Bombyx mori: one gene and its partners. The protein of the gene in region 1 binds, or shares a complex with, the protein of each later gene. Links are inferred from orthologs where the notes say so. Each region holds a gene or a part of one and is shown on either strand. Other genes may lie near its edges. The genes, in order: microprocessor complex subunit DGCR8, ribonuclease 3 and enhancer of rudimentary homolog.

Region 1 (7,591 bases):
GTTCACTCATGTGTTTAATATTAGTGGTTAAACTCGGTTAAAGTATGAAATTGCCGATTTGTACTGAAAATTTTTTATTCGTTTTATTAATTTCGTTTTAACATATTTATCTAATCAAAATATCTACCATTATTATCTATACATTGCTGCCATCTAATAGGATGGTCATTTATGCCTTTGCGATAGAACTCTGATGATCTAGATTCTACTTACTGTGTGAAAGCATTTTGTACTGCCTCCTGGGAAGAAAACTTTTTATCACATAGAAAATTGTCCAAATCACGAAAGGAATTGTAGTTCGAGGGAGCAAGGTCTGGCGAATACGACGACAGGTTCCTAATAGCGGTTCCTGTAGAGTTAAAACGGTTTCTCGTGCTGTATGAGGTCTCGCGTTATCGTGAAGCAATAATGGAGCAAAATACACGAAATAAAAAATCTTCATTCTATCATAAATGACATACCATACATCATATCATCGATCTTTACGTGGTTACCGGAGCCCGTATACATCTACTATGTAAATGCCACAGATTAATTGAGATATAAGTTTTGAGGTTTCAGTATAGTTACAACAGCTGCTCCACCCTTCAGACCGAAACGCATTACTGCTTCACGGCAGAAATAGACAAGATGGTGGTACCCACCCGTGCGGACTCACAAGAGTAAACAGAGTCCAGCAAACGATCACTTTTCCTATATAGCTCTTTTATTTTATTCACTTTTTGGCACAGTTTATTCCAATCAGTGACAGTCATCAAATTGACTTTTTATTTAATTATGTCGGTCACAGCTTTAACTACTCCAACTAACGTTCTCGCTGCTAACATGAAAGTATAGATAGTTTACTGTTAGTTAAAATTTGCAAATCATTTACATAATTGATGTTATTTTCTTTATCAGTATTGTTGACTACTTTACTACCTAACACTGTATATATATATATGGTTTCATTTTGAGAATAAAGTTTAAAATATTACATTATTAGAATATTATAATAATACTAAGTTGATAAATACTTACTAAAGACAATAGACAAACGGAGACCTCAATATTTTTGAACCAAGACTCAAGGGATTTGTCAGTTGTGTGAAGGATAGGAGGAAGGATATCCTATTTAACAATGGCTAGTTATCGATATTGAATGTGTGAGAATTAATCTTCATGTTATACCCTGGAGAGGGATGAAATTTTGTGTTGGTTGTATTGTAGTTGTCTACATACGTGGATACTTCGTATTATTTTTTTTGCTTTTTTTTCCCCTGGAACTCGTAATTTTATTTTCAATAACCAATGCAGAGGCTCGCTCGCTATGTACATTAATACAGGTTTGCTTAGTGCATATATTATTTAGACTGCAATCCAGATCAGACTTAGGTACTATTTGTACGATTTAGTTAATATGTAATGTACTATAATTATTGTGATTTGTTTTGTACATCAATAAAATATATATAAAAATTGAATGAGTTTGAAAAAAAAAATGTGGGGCTATTAAAATTGGACAAAAGTGTAGTTTGCTGCAGTGATGCGCGTGCACAACACAGGGAACCAATCACAACTGACGGCAGGTGACGTGCCGCGGGTAGATCCAATCACGTAATCAATATGGCTTACGCACCCCCGTTCTTGCCTCGTTCCTCCAAACAGACCCAAAAATGGACTTCTGCGCATGTCAAGGTCAGAGCTCAAGACTCGTGCCGACTTATAAACTGTACAAATCATTATAAATTTCACAATACAGTAATAGTAAAACGTGCAAAATGCCCGCGTTATATGGGGTATACCCGTGTTATACGAAGGACTGAATTCGCGTAATATGAAAATCCGTTATAAGAGTACCGTGTTATAAGGGCTTAATGGAAGTGATATAACAGTGAGTGCCTATTTGGTGGAGTAAAATGTATTCAGTGCGCATTTAATTCGTATAACCAGTAATAATTCAGATATCACTATTCGCATCTTTTAATATATGTGGCCAGCCTTAATGTTAACTACGAATCATATTATGATACCTTCTGTAAAACACAGTTCAAGGGTTGGCGGAAGAAGAGGTTGTTCGCTAAGTACAAGTACTCATTATTCCAAAACTATTTACTTCGATTATTCTAATAAAGAACTACCTACAGTTGTCGGCTTGACGCACCCTCTTGAGGGACACCCTGTATCTGATATACTTTTTAGATAGTTGGTTACGACTGAGATTTGGGGAATAAAAATATCGTTATGAATCAATGAATCGGTCACCTACCAATTTAAAATGAAACTGTAAAACTAATAGTAATTAGATGGGTAGGAGCCTGCCTTTTACAAAACACTGCACCGGTATCACACGACTCCCATATGCGATAGTTTCATACAATTGCCCATTGGGTGCATGGATACTGTGATGTGATTTAGACTATAAGAGATAACTTGTGAGGAGCCCAATAAAAACCATCTCTCACAATTCTCATGACAGGGCAGTGTCACCAAAGGAGTTATTGTATTGCCAGTGTTTGTTGAAGTCAATTAACTTACCTTCTAAAACAATTTTCTTTCCCATAACGTATGCCTTCTCCTTAGGTTTAGGAGCACCCTTAAAGCCCTCCGGAAGATCTTCATCTAACATTTTCTCTATTTCATCTTCGGGCACACCTTCTGATTTTCCTAAAATATATTATTAATTAATAAAGTAGTAGACGACATTGTAAATAGTTACTTAAAATATACCTATTAAGTTAGAAAACAATTGACGAAATCATCACAATTTAATTGGGATTTTGCATAATTATCATGCCTATAACACTTCCTTCTTAACTATTCCTACAGTAAAGCAACCATGCATATGGATTCAACATTAGTATACTTGAGCCTGTCGCCCTTCGCATCAACATTGGTGTGTCTATGGGTCTAAGAATGAAAGCTCATCAATCAATTTATGCTAATAAAAAACTTTAACCTTTGAATCTACATTAGTTGCAAGTGTTTTTGTATCTTAACACTAAGTTGTCTGTCAATATCATATATACATAATTACTGTAGTAGGGCATGCTGTGAGCCTGAGCAAGTAGCCATATCAGCCCATTTTTGTTACAAAGCAGTTAGGTGTCAATTTAAAGTGTGGGCAGCTGTTATACAATACAATGGAGGTTCAACCTAGACATGTAATATTATTATAATACCTCATATTTTTAATGGGTGACAGTATTCACACATGAGATGTCTATGTGCTCCAATAATCACTATACTTCAGGTGAGCCATGAGCTCGTTCATCAAATTTTACTATATAGACAGAATGCAGGTAAAATACTGCATTATCTTTCTCCTAAGTTGTGTTAAAACCTTGAGTATTCAAAATTGTAATGTTTTCACTCTGTTGTGTATTCTACCATTATCAATTACTCTGTATAGTAAAAGCAAGAATACTTTTTTATTGTATATCCGGTGAACTGATTTGACCTATCTACTATTTGTTATAAGGAATCACTTGATTTTTATTTTTGTGGGTTTTAATTTTTTACTTCACATAACACTTCTAATGCATGCACTTACTCAATATTCAATAGATTCAAGAACAACACCGAAACATAGTTAATAAGGAGCCTACCCTCAGTGGACTCTGTATCCTCGTCATTACTATCTTCTTCGTTGGACTTCACCTCATCTAGAACTTTGAATTCCCGCAGCTGCTGCAGCTCAGTAGGGGTCACATAATCAGTATATTTATCAGTACTTATCTTAAAGTCTTTGTTATTATCTACAATGGACACATCTTGAGTGAAATCAACATCTTCTACCGAATTGTCCACCTTTGGCTTCTTCGCTGGTGGCATATGCTGATCTTCCTCATTCATTTTATTCTGTTTAAAAACGTGCGTTCATTGAAAATGTTTTTAATGAAATAGGAACACATTAATTTATCTTCAACATACCATGTTAGGCATAATCCATTAAATTACATAAACTAAGATACACGTTGATAACAATAACTTTACAATTCTGACACTAATGAATTTTACACATTACTTTCAAACTGCTGAAAAATAGCTATATGTAATAAACCTTTTTACTCTTGAGAGGTTTTCAATAAAATAAATTTGGAACAGTCCATGTTATAAAATTTATTTTATATCCTGATTTTAGCAGACTTAATAACTAGATATTGACATTCTCAAAAAAAAAATCAAAAAAATCTTACTATTAATTTTTTTGTTACTAAACAATGATGGTAAAAGAAAATAATGCTCTACAAAATGTCATTTTTAAAATTCATCAAAAATGTGCAAATATTCATTTGCTAAGAAGCTACTTATATTATTTTGTGTTGCATTCAATTTCTAAATTGGAGTAGTTTGAGGTGCATTTCTCAGGATTTTTTTGTATTACAATACTCAAATCAAATAGACATTTAGAGGCACTTTCACCTCAGCGTACAGAAATTAACTAAATACCCAAAGTGATGTAACACAGTCCACAGATAGCGATGGCACTTAAAATCCTATGTGTTCCAACAGTTGGATTTCAGCCATCACTTGCTGTAAACCTTAGTTAGTAGCGGGACCGAGAGCAAGACGTGCAAAGCGGCCATGAAGACTTCAGCAGGATTGCGACAGACCAGAACCTCTGATATAAACACCGAGTCTAGTCTGTAGCAAAACCGCAACGTTACAGGACGACTGGACTCTATACCTCCTTAACCGCTCCCGGGCAGACGCGTTCCTGTAGAATTTCTGTTGCTATCCTTCAAAACGATCAAACACTGCATTAAAGAAAATGCAAATTATGACCTGGTTATAAGCGTATGTATTCACGATACATATTTCGACAAAAACCTATAAGTATGTAAATCAGATGTGGCTTGGTGATAGCTTATATTCATTGTTAGAGACAGTAAATTTCAGTTTCATTACTAGTACCGTACGTTATGTGCGAGATACTTACGCTCGTGACTGAAAAGGTTAATCAATAATCAATAAAACATGTATTTAGGGAAATCTGATAAACTTATTTTGCAACCACACACCGTCGAAAACGGCTAGCGTGTCTGAGCACTTAGTAAAATAGTGTTGAATGAATATGGTACCGTACCGACTTTTAGGAAATAACGATAAATTTTCAGAAGACAAGAGCTATCCTCGTTTTTTTAGGGAACTTTATGACCTGGTAACTAAGACCTATAGGTTAAATCCTCAATTTTTTAAGGGATTTTACGACCTGGTAACTAAGACCATTAAGTCAAGTCTTATTTTATTTGTAATGAAAACTTTTTTATATAAAAAATGATATTATGAAATGAAATGAAGTTCATTAATATGAAACATGGCATGAAATGGAATGAAACGAAATGGAAACGAAATGAAATGAAATGAGATGAGATGATATGGGATGAAATATAATTTCAGTAAAATAGTGGTCATTTACTGAAATTTTTCCAGTGGGCTTTTTGGAGGATCCCGAGAAGTCAAGCCCAGCAGCGTTGTTTCATTTTCCTACATTTGTGCACTTTCACAGATATTAAACAGTTAATAAACCACCATTATTACACATTTAAACCTGAAGAAACACTAAATAGACAAAATAAAACAAATCACACAACTTCACTCTCGCGTTCCCGCCAAAAAAAACTACAGGCTACAGACTACCTAATATATTAATTTGTGCAAACTACTAAGAGGTGCTTACGCATAAATAGTACCATGTGCACGCATGCATATGAAGGGTAGACCGGTCATCGTCCTGTCGAACCCGTCGCTTGCGACGAAGGGCTCGACGAGTAAATTAACCCTCAGACACAGCCCACTGAGTTTCTGGCCGGATCTTTTCAGTGGGTCGCGTTTCCGATCCAGCGGTAGATTCTGCGAAGCACGGCTCTTGCTAGGGTTCGTTTTTTTTTTTTTATTGCTTAGATTGGTGGACGAGCTCACAGCCCACCTGGAGTTAAGTGGTTACTGGAGCCCATGGACATCTACAACGTAAATGCGCCACTCACCTTGAGATATAAGTTCTCAGATCTCAGTATAGTTACAACGGCTGCTCCACCTTTCAAATCGAAACGCATTACTGCTTCACGGCAGAAATAGGCAGGGCGGTGGTACTTAACTGCGCGGACTCACAAGAGGTCCTACCACCAGTAACGTGTTACTACGTGTTAGCAACGTCATCAGGTTTGAGCCCCGTGAGCTCACCTACTAGTTAAGGCTACGCTGATATAGCCTCTCAAGGCACTCAGCTTAGGTAGGAAAAAAAGAAATGTACCATCTTGTATAGAGGACAAGCAAAAAAGTGTCTACCTGTAAACAACAAATTATTGTTGTAAGACTCACCCAAATAGCGCTAGTGGAGGAAGTGGAAATAATATGAGTATAGCAGTTTTAAACAGAGTGCAGTGTGCTTGAATTAAATTGAAGTGTGGTTAAGGCGCTGTTTTTAATCGTTCTACTTGCTACTATGGCGCCACCTTGTTTTCTCTCTTTCAGCGGACACTTTTTACACTGAGATAGTGCTCGTTACTTCTACTCTCCTTAATAGTATGGGTATATTCAAATCACAGATAGAATCATATATAACACACTTAACAGGATAATAGGACAGAACCTCTACGTGGCACCCGAAACAAACGACGTACGGATTTGAAATTCTATGTTCACTAATTAAAGAGAAATAGAAGCTGTTCTATATGTGGTCGTGGTGCGCACGAACTATTCGCCATTAATCTGAGACATTACACGAATAAACCTAAAAAACAATTAAATTAACTTGTTTGATCATTAAATTATGACCTCAATCACGTTTTTCTAAGTTTGTGTTCATATTGCAAGTGCACCCAGAGGCACTGAAAGCTGTCTTTTGGCCAAATAGCAAGATTTGACTCGGACACGAGCGTGGCTACGTCGAAGGTCAAAATACTTGAAAAGCATGAAGCGAGACAATTCGCTACGAAGGAAAAGCAATCCAAAGTAGTGATAGAGTGGCATATAGTACGGTGAACTAAACTGACTACTAGTGCGTATTAGATCCTGGTGAAATCGAGTCAATGTGACTAGGTATCGTCAGTTTGGTGTAATCTGTTCAATAGTTTGCGTTGAGAACCCCAGTCCTGGCAATACAATTGCGTCTTCGAATTCATCATATAGGTACATGTGTGTTCAATAGTCAATAGCTTTTACTACATGAGATAAAACTTAAGCGAATGCAAGGATTAGGGCCAAAAAACATACAAACACTCTTTTTTATTTATTTATTATGTTCTTCATTTCAGAGCTAGTTTAGAAACAGCATTGGAACAAATAAATTTAATTATCTCAGCAAAACACACATATGTAATAAATCAAGTACATAGTCTTCTAAACATTTATCACAGAATTTTTCATATTTACATACTAATGTTCAAGATTACAAAGGAAGGTGTTGGAGCTCGCGGCGGGGCGGGGCGGGGCGCGACGCGGCGGGGCGCGACGACGGCTGCGTGGCCCTACCGGCGGCGGCGGCGCGGCGCGGCGTGGCGGGGCGGCACGGTCAGCGTGGCGGCGGCCAGCTCGTCGCGCGACACGGCGTCGGACCGCTCCAGCTGCGCTCGCGCCTCCACAAAGAACATCACGTCGCGGAGTTGCT
Region 2 (7,512 bases), on another chromosome or scaffold:
TTCAGTTCTCGTTCAATCACAAATGAACAATGAGTGTGAAGAGTTAATCATTAATTTCAAACTATAAAAGAGTATTATTTATATTTTACAATAAAATTGTATTAAAGTGCTCCAATATATGTTGCTAGTAGTATGTAACTACAATCAGCTTTTTTATTTTCATTACCTACCTATAATTGTTATATTTTATACATCTATAATTTCAACTATATGATGTATTAGAAATATGACAGTCTTACAAACTTCCTCGCAATGTTTTTCTTAATTAAAACACTCGGTATTCAGTACAGGTAGATACTATAGGAACATAATATTTCGTCGAAAACTCGTTGGTATGTACAAAGCACGCCTAAAATTCGAACCCCGTACCCGATATCGGCAATTCGGCACACCAACTGTTCACTAGACAATCGAGGCAATTTCATTAATTCAGGAGTTTTTTCAATCGTTCACTTTGTCACAACACTATTTTTATTTCATCAAAAACTGACAACACAGTAAACGTCAGTTGACTTCGTCTAATAAAAAATCCGACTATATTTGATCAATCTATAGATCCGAGTGACAGTCCAAAGAATCGATTCACATTAAAATAGCGCAATATCCTTAAGGCACAGATTCGTTTCATACGTGTAAACCAAAACGAAAGTTAGTATTAAAGATCGAAGTCTCATTATTGCATTCGATACCGCCTTCCCTGAGCTACTATAGACCACAACCTACTTTCCCGTGGCTACAGTATCCTGTCCTTCCTACTCCTAACTCCCTCTTCTCCTCATCTCTTTAATACCCATCCCTACACGCGGCTTCCTTTCCGCTTAATACACAAAGTCTGACTTGGCGAGGAAGGCAACACAACGCAGATATGCAACGTGACTTGGCGGACTCGGCAGGTCAGCAAGGCAAGGTGGATGGCCTAGGGCAGGGGTGGGCAAATACTTTAAAGCGCGGGCCAAAATGTAATTTTCAAAATGTCTCCCGGGCCGGAGGACTATACCGCATATACTTTTTTACCGCATATGCTTTTTTAATGCTGATGTCAACAAAATCTCATAAGAGTTTAAAAAAATTTATGTGCGGAATTTTTCAACGGGCCGGATAAAATTAGCAGAAGGGCCGGATCCGGCCCGCGGGCCGGCTTTTGCCCACCCCTGGCCTAGGGCGATGGTGGAGGGCATATAGTCATCGTCGGCTAGACACAACATCCAACCCCTTCTTCAGTCGTAGCGGTTTCCCGTTCCACTGATCCAAGAAGGGATAGGACGAGGGTGTGCGCCTGCGTGAGCGCAAACGTTTGCGCACCTAAATATATCCTGCGTATCTGACCGCTTCCGTAAACCAAAATCTGCCTGAGCTTTTGCCCGACCACCTGTCTCGGTGAAACCAGCACCGGACCACCAGTAATCCTTACTTTCTAAAAAAAGCTCTGAAAACTGATTTTCGTTTCTTTTCTCTGTTATAGTAAAATGAAGAGATTCAAAGTACCCGTAAGAATTAAAAATAATTGTAAATTATTTTATAGTTTTCTCTTAATTTTATAGAAACTGTACTTTCGATCTATGATTTTTACTTACGGAAAGTAACGGTAAGGTGCAGCATCTTGTGCGACAAGTTAAAAAAGTTTCCATCTGTAAACATAAAGTTATTATAGGAAGACTCATCGAAATAGCAGTAGTGTACGAAGTGGTTTACTGATGGTAGGTCAAATTGTGAGTCCACACGGGTAGGTATCATCGCTCTGCCTAATTCTATCATGAAGCAGTAATGCGTTTCGGATTAAAGATTGGGGCAGCAATTGTACTGTAAAACCTGAGACCTCAGAACTTATACCTCAAGGTAGGTGGCGGTATTTACGTCGTAGATGTCTTTTTTATTTATTGCTTAGGTGAGTGGATGAGCTCACGCCCACCTGGTGTCAGTAGTTACCGTAGCCCATAGACATCTACAACGTAAATGCCGCTACTTACCTTGAGATATAATTTCTAAGGTCTCAGTACAGTTATAACGGTTGCCCTATGTCTATGGGCTCCGGTAATCACTTAACACCAGGTGGGCCGTAAGGTCGTCCACCCACCTAAGCAATAAAAAAAAGTGGAAATTATCTGAATATATCAGTTTTAAATAGAGTGAAGTGTTGTAGTTTATGGCGCAGCTTTGTAAGCTCCACGTCCTCTCCACGTCTATGGCGCCACCTTATTTAGTTCCCTTTCAGCGGACATTTTAGTACACTGAGATGATGCCCCTACTCCTTACTTCGCCCTCGATTATTTTTCTGAGATCATTTAAAGACCTTTCATATAAGGCATCTTTAATGAAACATGCTTATCTATATAGCCAGTTAGTTAGTTATAGTAGTTAACCTTTTACATGTAAATTTTCTCCATACTGTTTATTGTCAAATGTAATTTGTAATTCTTCGTTTTCTTTTTCGCCTTCCTCTAAATTGGTCTTTCTTTATGTTGTAGGGGCCTTTGAGGCGCCAAAAATTCATTGGCTTATGTCGAATTAGCAATCCACCTTTTTTTGAAAAAAAATATCGATATATTTTGAGGAGAAAATCGATTTTTTTAATAGTCTATCTCCGATAATTATCTCTATTGAGATTTACTTTGATTGATAGCTAAATTAAGACTTAACCTAAAGGTCTTAGTTACCAGGTCATCAAATCTTTAAAAAAAAATGATATTTGATAAACTCAAATAGACATTCATTCAAAATAATCTAAATATTAATTAATTAAATACTCTTGGATTTATCTTTCAACATTTGGATTGAATATGTATACGGAAGTAATTCATCATTATTCACGTTAAAGTTTCTTAATTAAAAAAAAAACTGTATGTGTCGATAAGCAGTAAAACATTTCAGTATGTCTATTCCTCCAGTTGATTACAGTGTTCCACCTCCGCCAATTCCGAGGCTTCCAGTTAATATTCCGTTACCACCCCACCCACCCCCGCCTATCTTTCCGAGAGCAATGCCTTTATATACCAGACCGCCACCAGTACTTCCGATGCTATCAGTACCGCCAGTACCATACCCTCATTCACGCATGCCTCCAGCTCCTGTTCCACAGTTACCTGTACCCAACTTTATGCCCACCATTGATATACATTCTGTCCCTCCACCACATCCAGTATCTTCCTACCAAGCATCCAAATCGCACAGAGATACTAATGATTATCTACCGTGGAATTACAAAACATCCAATAGCTTGAGTAATACGAGTTCTGGTATAACTAGAATAGATCATGGTTTGTGTGGTACAACATATAAAAAAAAAGAAATCTATCGAAATTCGAGAGAACCATCAAGACATAGCTATTCTCCCCAAAGAGGGCATTCTCCTTTTAGGGGACAGTCCCCTCACATAGGACATTCTCCACATGGATATTCTGATAGGAGCAGGAGGGAGAGGGATAGAGATAGAGAACAGAGGAATCCGACAAGTCATAGTCCTAGATATTGCTCTAGAAGTCCACCAAGATACAGTTCAAAATTAAACAGAAGTCCTTCTCGATATAGCTATAGAGAAAGAGAGAAAGAAAGATATTACATGGAGAGAGAGAAAAAGTATTATGAAGGAAGACGAGAATATGGTAGAAGAAAATATGAATATGATGTTCGCCGCAGTGAATCTCAATACAAAGATTATAGAAGCCACAGTAGATGTGAAGGTAGGGATAGATCACCAAGCAGAAGGGCGCATTCTCCTAGTAGGGAGTCCAATAGAGAAAGTCTGACGAGAGAAATGTCACTTCACCGACAAGAATCACTTTTAGGCAAACCAATGACAGATCGTGAAAAGATTTTGGAAGAATATAGGTAATTATGTTAAAGTGATGTCAAAGTAGAAATTTCTTTTAATAACTTAATTGTTAAATGAAAACTAAAGAACTTAAATTAGTACTGAGTCCACAGTGTACACATATTATTGTTTATTCAATTGAGTTGAAAGGTTGTGTAGTTTTTGGCACTTCTGGCAAGCGTCTAGTTCTGTTTCTTGAATACTTTATGATTCACTGGTGCACTTCTTCTTGCCCTTATATCACATAGTGTGGGGTTCATGCTGCATGTCCGCTTATGCTGCATAGAGATTTGGCCTTAGTTTTATGATCGGTTGCCAATTTAACATCAACCCTTCTTAGGTTCTCTAAATATCCAGTGCAACATTCCATGGGCAGGTACTTTTCTTTTTGTCTTGGTACCACCTTTTAATTCAACAGTTTTTGCTTCAATTTTTTGCATATTATTATTAAAAACGTTTGGTTGGTTTACAGGTACACTAATGAAATATATGCATATTTTCTTGGATATTGTGAGTCCGAAAGATAAACCACTGAATTAGCTATTTTTTTCCTAAGACATTCATTAATTTCTGTTTGAATACTAGTATTAGGATATCATTATTTATAACTCTCACTTTATTTCTTGAGGTAGATGGCTTTCTAAATAACTTTTCTTCAGTACTACAGAACAGTATCTGCCTCTTCTGATAATCTTAAAAAGATGAACACACATTCGTGTCTGGATTAAATTTATTATGGCCAGTTAATAGTGGTATAAGAAAAACTCGCTTTTACAATTAAATTTCGCATTTTTAAAGTTAATAAATTAAGTGTATTTGCCCTAACATTTAATTAATTATTTATTTACACATTAATTTGTATGACAATTTTCTTAATTTTAGGAAAAACTACTGTAGAACTTCTGAAGATTTTATACAGAAAATGGAACAGTGGTCGAAAGAACATCTTTCTGAAGGAGAAGAGGTCAGTATTTTATATATTTAAGAAAATCCTGGCATGTGACTTTACAGTTTAAGATTATGTAAAATTGTAAAACTAATGCTTTCCTTTAAATTAAAATAAAACTTTACTGACTAAGTAGTACCAAAACTATTTCTGCATATTTATATTGTACATAACATATTATATTGTTTCTGTGCAGATTTTCGAACAAATTCTTGCTAAAAATTTGCTTAAAGTTTTTTCAAAATTTGTTTCCAATTTAGGGGAATATTTTTGGAAGTTCATATGATTTCAATATATAAAACGTAATCATATATTGAATATTGTTTCATAAAACTGTTAGTTAATATAGTTAATAGTTAGGAACCGCAGGAGAAGAAGTCAAAGTTCGGTTGTTAAAGTTTATCGTGCAATCTGTAAATTAACAAAATACACTAAACTATCATAACTAGATGTAACTTGAATTTTTATTGGAAAAATTTGATTTAACACTTACAAATATTATTTCTCATAAATATTGTTTATTTACGTTTATCTCGCAAAAAAAAACTTGCCATTGTTTATCACTATTTCCCGGTATAGGCCAGGCTTCCTTGGTAGCTGTCTGGGGTAATTAAAGGAAACGAGGTCGCACAGCGCGCTACCACCCCTCTGGCAGGCTGCATAGTTTGATACTAAAGAACGACCAGTTGGTGGTGATTTGAGCTTCGACTTGACAAATTGGTTCTGGTCCAGCGTTGTTCCCTAGAAAACTTTCAACAAAGCCTGGGAGGCTTAAGGGACCGCCGACCAAGTTGGCTGACTTATAGCCTTGTGGTGGTGGACCGGTTGCAGCGGTGCGCGACTGGTTGCAGTGTTGACTGCGGTTGCCCCTGTTACCTCTACCGGGTATTCTTTGGGGCAAGGATTGGATCTTTAGGCGACAGTACAGGGGAATCTATAAGTGGGGTCTACAGCAGTTCCATATAATAGTGCATCGTCCAGCCGCGTAGATCGCGGGCACAGATTAGGCAATTAGCCATAAAAAAATGTTTTACCACTACTTCTGATAGAGTACATAAATTAGTCTATTCAATGCCAATTTCGAAAGTACCAAGAACAGTGAAATTAATCAGTGGTTAACAAATTTTTTACAGTCGTCAATGTGGTATAGGAGTTCACCAGCTGAGCTCTATTACAAAGAAGTCCAAAATGGTGAGGGAGTCGAACAAACTTTAAAACTGCAGAAACTTTGTGAAGTATTCATGAAGAAACTCATTGAGAGGGGACGTAATGCAAGGCCTGAGGTTGATGAGCTCCCACCCTTAAAGCCACCTAAATCGAAAATGTGCAAACATAAACGTAAGTACCTACGTACCTATTTCTATTTTATTTTAAATATTATATAATATTAATAGATAAATTTACAACAGGGTGACCGATAAAACTAATTTAATGTGTCAATGATAAAATACACAATCACACTTTCACAGAATTGTATAATGGATTAGGAATACTGATGAATGAGAGAAACCTGTGACTATCAGGTTGACCTAGGTACAAATTTCTAGGAAGGCACAAATGTAACATTAAAAAAATATGTATTTGACAGTTGATGAAAAAAGCTCATCGTCGTCATCATCGTCATCATCATCAGAAAGTGACGGATGTTTAGATGAAGAGGGCTTGCAGGGCTATAGTGATAGGATAATGCTAGAGCTACAGCGGAAACAGAGTCATCCCAGGAGATTGCACCCTGAAATGTGGTATGTTCGAGGTTAAGAGTACTTAGATTTTATATTCAAATTGATTAAATGATGAACTAGTGCTGGTACGAAATCGCACCATAATATTGATAATGTTTATATGGTGAGTGTGAATGATGAAGAATGTGCGACAGTGAGACTGGCATGCAGTCCCATAATATCACTACATCTCTTATCATCGGAACATACATGCTGAGACCAAACTGGAAGCTTGGATTGTTTCTGGACAGAAACTGGAGAACGAAATTTTAGAGTTTGTACTTCTGTCTTGTTCTTCAATCTTAACCCACTAGGTCTCTTTCGCATATTTATTCCTTCTTGTTGGTGGGTAAGTCATAGATCTCACTACAGAGCTACAGCTCTTTACTTGACTTGCATATGATGGATTTTGTAGTGACGATGTTTGATACTTCATACTTTACACTGCTTTTTTATTAGACTTCATACCCGATACTGTAGACCGAATGGTAGACAGTCGACGTCGCCCAAAACACGTCATTACGGATCCTCCCGATCCATTAACGTGCTTTTACGTATCACAAGCACCGGTCACCGTCCTAGTCGAACCCGTCGCTTGCGATGAAGGGTTCGACAAGCGAATTAACCCTTAGACACAGCCCACTGAGTTTCTCGCCGGATCTTCTCAGTGGGTCGCGTTTCCGATCCGGTGGTAGATTCTGCGAAGCACTGTTCTTGCTAGGTTGGGTGGTGGTACCTACCCGCGCGGACTCACAAGAGGTCCTACCTCCAGTAAAATCATAAGAGGTCCTACCACCAGTAAATGATTTGAAATTTAATAAATTTTTCAGGTTTAACAACACCGGCGAAATGAACGGCGGTCCGTTGTGTCGGTGTAGCGCCCGAGCCCGTCGTCACGGCATGCGGCACGGCGTCTACGCCGGCGAGGAATCATTCCCGAAATGTATTCCTGAACGAAGCAATATCGACAAACTGTATCATTATCGGTTAGTCCGTATTAAACCTAACTAGTTGGGGCGCAAAAGTTCTTTATGAAC
Region 3 (7,450 bases), on another chromosome or scaffold:
TTCGATTGTCATATCTACGTTCTCGAATTCTTTAATAATGTTTTCGTCATTCAAATCAGATTCCAAGTCTTCCATAAAACTCTGTTTCGATTTATTGCAATCCAAATTCAACTCTGTTGCTTTAATTTGATAATTCGATTTCTCAATGACTATATCGTCGGCATTATCATTGAAATCACTTTCGTTATTATGAAACACATTGCTCAATTTATCCTTTCCATTATTCGAATTTTCATCAAATTCTTCATTCAGATCTATATCTTTGAATACTTTTTTGCATCTCAGTAAAGCACTATTAGATAGTTGAATTTTTTTGTTACTAGCCGTTATAAAGCCGTCGTACTTTCGTTTCTTAGGTTTCAGCACATAATCGCTGTCAGCTTTACCGGAAACCTTAAGTGAATCATCATTATTTATGGCCATATCAATATCTAGAATGCCAACATTTTCGGAATTCCTATTTAATTCATCCTCATCTTTATTCGTGTTCGTCGTACCATCACGGGCCTCAACAATTTCATTGAAATTCAGTTTGTCTGTGTCTTCAAAGCTTAATATAGACTTAGCTTTACAAAAAGACTCCTCAGAGACTTGTATGGGATTATTACTGGCTGTTTGGAATCCAACATACATACTTTTGTTTAAAACATCATTTTTGTCATAGGTAGATGTTTTAAAAGGGCAGGTTAAAGGTAAGTCTTGAATCATTCTATCACTTTCTTCATCGCTACTAAATAATATTTCATCTTGTATGTAACTATTTGTTTTTTGCCTTAGATAATTTAATGCTGTCGTCGGCATAACAATTTTGTCTTCAATATTTAATATCGGACTTTTTTTATCCAAACACACGAACATATGATTGTCTTCGATTTCTATATTCAATTCTCCATCAGATAATTGAGAGTTAATCAGATGTTTGACTCTGTTTAGATCTTTGTTTTCTTCGACAATGGGAAAGGCTATTCTCTCAAACCTTTCAAACTTCTCCAGGTCAAACACTAATGGCAGTATTTTATTGTTTTTAAAATTTAGCACTGGACTCGGTGATCGGCTTTCTTCTGCCACTAATGTTTCGGAAACTTCAACTTTGTCCATTTCAAATATTTGACTTTTGAATATGTTATCGTTTACTTCAACAGTGTCTGTCTCATCATTCACACCAATTGATTCCGCACTCTCCTCTAAATCATTTAGGAGTGAACTCTTATCATTATTATCTTCCTTACTTAGCACTCCTCTGTGATTGTCTGCTGTATCAGTGGTGTTACCGTCGCCTATCTCGGCAATTACGTGATGAAGAGTTATATTTTCTGGTGTTGAAACTTTCGTATCTGGATGCTCCGCATTCTGCACTAAGGCAATCAGTTGAGAATCAGACACAAACTGTGTTTCAAATTGGTAAATATTTTCTTCATGTAATTCCTGAAATCATGAAACCTCTTTCAGTGTTTTAATAATGTGTTAATTTTCTTTTATTATTAATTTTATAAACAGTGAACATTCTCATGACCCTCCAGATATTAAGTCATTACCAGAGTATGCGGCATTACTGCATAATTTTTTTACAAGATGTCAAAGCCTCGATTACTAAGAAAATATCTATGTAATTCTATTGGTTGTAGGGTGTCTTGTGAGCCCACATGAGTAAGTTTCACCACCCTGTCTATTACTGTTGGAAGGCATACTTAACAAATGTTTACGATTGACTTCCACAGTGAATAAATAACATTGTGTAAAAACCAAACCTGCAAAATTATAATTTCTGTGATTACGTGGTAGGAGGTCTTGTGAGTCTACTTAGGTAGGTAATACTACCCTGCCGATTTCTACTGTGAAGCAGTAATGCGTTTCGGTTTAAAGGGTGCAGCAGCCATTGTACTGTACCTACCTTGTGAATAACATCTCGAAGTGGGTGGCAGCATTAACATTTTAGATGTATACAGGCTCCAGTAACTACTTTACACCAGGTGAGCTAAGCTTGTGCACCTATCTAAGCAATGAAAAAAAATCAAACAAAATATTCACAGTAGAACTCATTCTGATGTTGATGTACAAACTTACTACTTACAGAACTATACACAGGGCATATACCACCTTATGGATATTTGGATCTAAAATGGCAAAATTATCTGGTAAATTTAGTTAACTATTACTTTACTTAACTTTTAACCTTTTAACTTTTACTTGTAAAATTAAGAAAAAATATGGAAAAATAGCAGGGCTCAAACAATTTGGAGAAATTAATTGAATAAAGTGTAATGCTGCTCAGGACAAATAACAGATATGTTGGCAGCAGAAGGCAAGGGCTGGGCATTATTTACGTAAAGAATAGCTCGTTTTCTTATCACTGTAGGACTTTCTGACCTTGCAATATATACTGACCTTGGGATAATCTGGTAACTCAGCCACAGGGATAAACTCCTTTTTCGTAAAGTAATTATTAGTTGTATTATCAACTTTGGTCAAATTATTCGTATCAGCTTTCTGAATGGCTCTCATCTGTGATTGTACAATCTTTATAACGTCCCTTGGTTTGCTGGCCTGTTCTCTATCGCGAAAATCGTGTCCGTATAATACTGGTGTTCTATTACGTTTGTTTCGTAAAATTAATTCAAAATCTTCAATTTCCTTTACCGTTTTTTCCATTTCGATTTTTTAAGCACTGTTCGCTTAAATTACACTATGATTATTGATATTCTGTAACAAAATTGTCCTCGCATTTTGTGTTTACTTACAAATAAAATGAAATTATTGAAATAAAAGATGTTTTGAAAATAGTTTGAGCGAAAAATCCAACACATGTCAAAAGTTTTGACTTACTTATGTTAGATTTTTCAGTTTATGTGTGGCCATTGTCACTCGATCCTTTAGCCTATTTATTTTTGTTTTTTACACAACACACGTCATAAAACAAAGTCTCAAAATTTTGAGACATAAATGTGCACCTATTCCCCTATTTATTCTAAAGATAAGCTACCGGTAAAAGTGTAAAATAGCTCTTCGGTTTTGATAAAGCCGAGTACCACGCAACAAATTCCCAATGTGCACAATTCTGTTACTTTTAAACGATGTTATGCGAATATGCAACCATTTACATGTTTTTATATATTTTCAATATTCGTTATTTTATAAATCTTGTAAGAGCAAAAGCGAAATAAGTACCGTGATATCGTGGGATAGGTATGTTATTTTGATTAAGAACTAATAAATCAGTTGACTTTTTTTCACAAATTTTCGAAGCAGCCATTTGTTTCGCATTGAAGGAGTTGAGACTCTACTTGATTTCTCAAAGTGAGCCACGGAGGATACCCTTCGTAAGGTGGACAGCGGAATTCACCTTGTGAAATCTATGGTTCCCAATAACCTCACACCAATTAACCAATTCACACATTTATGCAATAAAGTGAACGTTAAAATATACCATACTCTTTAATATAATTTAATTTTCAGGTACAAGACCAACCAACCAACAAAATACGTTTAATGTTTTGAAACTATGAATTGCTGGCTCTATTTGTTACAAAACAGATAAAAAAATGATTTTTGATCGAATTTTTTATCACATTCTGGAACATAAGCCTTTTTTAAATTAAATGAAATTCAATTTTAAATATATATCAATTATAATTAAAATTATTATTAAAATAAATAATGGAATCAAAAAACACATTTTCGAACGTGTCATTAAAATTTTTAGACCCTAATATTTTGATGAGCTTTTCTGTTTATTTCTGAACGAATAAAGTTAGAAGCGCGATTTGATGGCCTGATAATTCTCGAAAGAATCCTGTCTGTTTATAAATACAACCGATCTTTTATATTATTTAATTAAAATCTTAAAGATCCTTTAAACATGGTACGTTCAGTTTAATTTTTACTTAGTAACGTTGAATTTCTGGTCCAAAATATGGCGGCAAATAGAGGTTATGATTTCAGAGTCACACAATTTTGCTGGTGCAGCCCGGTCCGAGGCCCGAAACCAGGACTTACTCAGACTACGAAAGCGTCAACGACTGCATGGAGGGTGTGTGTAAAATATATGAGGAACATCTGAAAAGGCGAAACCCTAATACACCCACTATCACGTACGATATATCACAACTCTTCGATTTTGTAGACCAGGTATCTAATTATTACTATATATACAATTGTATTGAAATGGAAACACTTGAGAAATGTGACAGAAGCATTGAAAGAACCGGCCTACCTTTTGATTATTAGTGAGCAGTGTAGATCACAAATGAACATGCTGTATTAATCTGAAAACGACTCGGAGAAGAAAGATTAAAGAATTTGTTTCTCTCACTTTCTTGACCACTTAATAATTTGACTTGTTGTTATTGTTTGTCTCTAGTATTTTGTAGAAGTCTACTTATATGTATAGTAAAAAAAAAATTACTATTTACAATTGAGATTATTGATACCATCACTTTCAAAGGAACAGTTTTCATTACATTTAAGAATGAAAGGCTATTTGAGTTAAGCAACATTTTTGCAACTTTACAGGAGAGCCATTTAAAGTTTAAAATTTAGAAAAAATATCATAACAAAAAAGCGTCTTCAGCTATTTGAATGAGTAAACTTAAAACATCGAACAGTTGATGCTAATACCAAATAAAACATTACCTTTAATTACAAAAATAATGTTGCGTATTAAGCAAAACGTCACTTAAGCCTTTCACCCCTCAATATGATAATCGGCTAATTGGTTTTCAATATGATAATTTCAATATGTTACAAAATGATAAAAACCCACCTATTTGTATCATCCTTAAGATTTTTGCATAGATACTGATGTGTTACTTATCTACCTAACCCAGAAATCTGCCTGCTGAGTTACTTCCCAAGACTCCTCAGTGATCCTCATTTCTGATCTGGTAGTAGATGCATTTGCGAAGCAGCTGCTCTTGAACTGTTTGCTTATCAAGCCTGGGCAATTGTTAGCGAATTCCACCCCTCCTGGCTGAGCCTACACTGTCCAACCTATCCTGGTGATACAGGAATATCATGTATCATGACTATGCCTCATCTGTTAGGTAGAAGATCTCATTAATCATCTGCATTTTTTGTCTCCTAAAGTTTAGCTACTCTTTGTTAGCTATTTGCGTAATATTGACAAGCGATGGACTACATGGCCTACGTTTTCTTAAAATATGATCCATACTAGAGATGAAACTGATATCCGGTATCTGGCCTATCCGGCCATGATTTCACTATCTGGCAGATCTGGCCATGATTTCACTATCCGGACGATCTGGCCATTATTTCACTATCCGGCCAGATACCGGATAGTAATTCAGTATCCGGCCAATTGGCGATCGTTTTTTTGATGATGACATTTCTTTTCAATTCAAACATAAAATCACAACGACGCGCATAAACAAAAACAAACTCACACGCGCGAACACTCGAACGCCCCCGAGTCGTCGCGAACTCCGCTCACGTGCGACAACACACGAACGCGCACGAATGTTTCCGAAAGGGCCGAATATCCGGTAAATGAATATCCGGCGCTCCGGCCTCGCAGCTTGCCGAATATTCGGTATCCGGTATCCGGCCAAACTACTATCCGTTTCATCTCTAATCCATACCATCTAATTTTGTCTACTTTACATTGCTCTTCGATTATTCATGTAATGCCCAAATTGATTCTAAACTCAGGACATGTTTTAGTACATGCACAACTTTTGTTTGCTACTGATTATTTAATATTCTGGATCTCAAACTGCACCTCCATCTCTTGTAGGATGAGTCTGATCTTGTATTTAATTTTCAATCTGTGTTTCATCAGATAAAAACAGTGGCTAGCTGTGAATGAATTCATAATTTTATTAGTGATAACCTAATCTCTGAGTAATTTTTAAAGAATTTCATTGATAATAAATATTCTTTAATATTAGTTTTCATGACTGATGTTGTGCCTTCTTATATAAAAGCAATAGATTTCAATGTGTTGATGTCTATCTGGCTGCAATCATTACATTTGCTGTTATGGTGCATTATTTTGTTACGACTACATAATAACATAACTTTTTTTTTTGTTTTCAGTTGGCAGATCTGAGCTGTTTAGTTTATCAGAAATCTACAAACACATACGCACCCTACAACAAAGATTGGATAAAGGAAAAGATATATGTTTTATTGCGTCAAGCGGCCGGACAGAGTGATTAAGATTATAAAAAAAACTCAACATTAAGAACACCGTACAGTGTAAACTTGAAAAAATACATAGTTGTGTAACATAATACAGTAAGAGAGAAATTATTATGTTTGGAAAAATTCTCTGATAAGACTCTTTAATGATCAAATTAATCTATTTTATTAGTGAAGTTCAACATTTAGCACTGTTATTTATGTAAAATCACCTACATAACGTGAAAACTATAAGTCCATCCCACATGCAAGCAGTTGTCAATGTATGTACATTATTTAAACCTATATTTGACACTTTTGTTGTTTTTTTAATTTCATGTAAAATACAGACTAGAACAAATAGTGTGCCTGCTTCCTCTAAAAAATTAGACTGTAATTGATTTAAGTAAACTAACTATGTCTTGAAGTCGATTAGTTGGTTAGGCTTTGCCCCTAAGGATGGTTGCTGTATTTTTTATAACCTTGGAAAATATATTTATGTTGTTAACAGCAGCTTCACCAATACGTGTTGTTTGAGGCAATCTAGAATTCATATATTACATTATACAACATTAATACAAATAACTAAGTCTACTGGTGACCGAGTTTGTTGTAAACCCTTTAGTGTAGGTAATATCATCCTGCCTATCTTTGCCGAGAGGCAGTTATCCGTTTCAGTTTGAGGGATGGGTCAACCGTTACACAATACAGTTAAAACTTTGACTTTATGACTCATAGTGGGTGACTGAATTCAGGTGATGTTTACGTGCTCTGATAAATGCTTTACACTAGGTGGACTCGTTGACCCATCTGCAGGGTGAACCAATATAGTCTTTTTACTTTTGATACATTAATTAAAAAAACCTAAATAAAGGAGATAAAAACTGTTTGCTTATTATGATTAAACATGAATATGTTTTTTTTTATTAGTCAAGATTCACCCTTGATTATATTGACACTGCTGTCATCTAGTTTTTTTGTGAAATGCTCTGCACATCCTTGCAAATATTGCTTCAATTCATCAAGAAACACGAAACTTCACTTTTAAGGTATCACAATAAAAAAATCGGGAAGGAGATTAATGCCAGTTAATGTTACTCATTTTGAAGTTCACTTTATGCTACAGCTACCGATGCAAAAGTAAACAAACTTTTGTTCCACACTGTACATAAGCGAAAATGTTTTTTTCTATTTAGCACATTAACTAATTAATTTGAGAGTTATTATCCAATATGGGGTTTGGAAAATGTTCAGAAAACTGTAAAAAGAGTAATAAATTCAAGTGGCCTGTAAGATTACTGTAAGAGTACTATAA

Evidence for each region.
Region 2: the proteins of microprocessor complex subunit DGCR8 (region 1) and ribonuclease 3 are in contact, whole or in part, in a crystal structure (PDB 5B16), measured with the Homo sapiens proteins. The link is inferred for Bombyx mori from reciprocal best matches to the Homo sapiens genes DGCR8 and DROSHA. Residues at the interface, in NP_073557.3 of Homo sapiens: Asn728, Ile731, Leu732, Lys734, Leu735, Gln736, Glu738, Met739, Lys740, Leu742, Ala743, Arg746, Arg750; in NP_001369437.1 of Homo sapiens: Leu984, Leu987, Phe988, Thr998, Tyr999, Thr1001, Ala1002, Ile1003, Gln1005, His1008, Phe1069, Asp1073, Leu1074, Glu1076, Val1077, Trp1078, Asn1080, Pro1082.
Region 3: the proteins of microprocessor complex subunit DGCR8 (region 1) and enhancer of rudimentary homolog are in contact, whole or in part, in a crystal structure (PDB 7CNC), measured with the Homo sapiens proteins. The link is inferred for Bombyx mori from reciprocal best matches to the Homo sapiens genes DGCR8 and ERH. Residues at the interface, in NP_073557.3 of Homo sapiens: Lys107, Phe108, Ser109, Pro110, Asp111, Leu112, Leu114, Leu115; in NP_004441.1 of Homo sapiens: Val8, Pro10, Thr11, Thr18, Tyr19, Ala20, Glu27, Lys34, Met35, His39, Arg42, Met43, Phe60, Leu64.

Annotation. Positions count from the first base shown.
Region 1 is NC_085122.1:14,194,387-14,201,977, reverse strand, and holds the start of microprocessor complex subunit DGCR8, read right to left. Parts: upstream 5,133-7,591; 5' UTR 4,922-5,132; exon of another isoform or gene 4,740-4,921; 5' UTR 3,925-4,739; coding exon 3,913-3,924; intron 3,841-3,912; coding exon 3,588-3,840; intron 2,647-3,587; coding exon 2,518-2,646; intron 1-2,517. Other genes in the region: BRCA1-associated protein, read right to left, coding at 7,452-7,591.
Region 2 is NC_085124.1:7,731,708-7,739,219, reverse strand, and holds the start of ribonuclease 3, read left to right. Parts: upstream 1-2,606; 5' UTR 2,607-2,869; coding exon 2,870-3,825; intron 3,826-4,690; coding exon 4,691-4,772; intron 4,773-5,887; coding exon 5,888-6,092; intron 6,093-6,342; coding exon 6,343-6,496; intron 6,497-7,305; coding exon 7,306-7,461; intron 7,462-7,512. UniProt on the Homo sapiens protein: Ribonuclease III double-stranded (ds) RNA-specific endoribonuclease that is involved in the initial step of microRNA (miRNA) biogenesis.
Region 3 is NC_085129.1:16,204,795-16,212,244, reverse strand, and holds the start of enhancer of rudimentary homolog, read left to right. Parts: upstream 1-3,587; 5' UTR 3,588-3,856; coding exon 3,857-3,859; intron 3,860-3,939; coding exon 3,940-4,125; intron 4,126-6,051; coding exon 6,052-6,174; 3' UTR 6,175-7,450. Other genes in the region: breast cancer type 2 susceptibility protein homolog, read right to left, coding at 1-1,425, 2,386-2,649. UniProt on the Homo sapiens protein: May have a role in the cell cycle.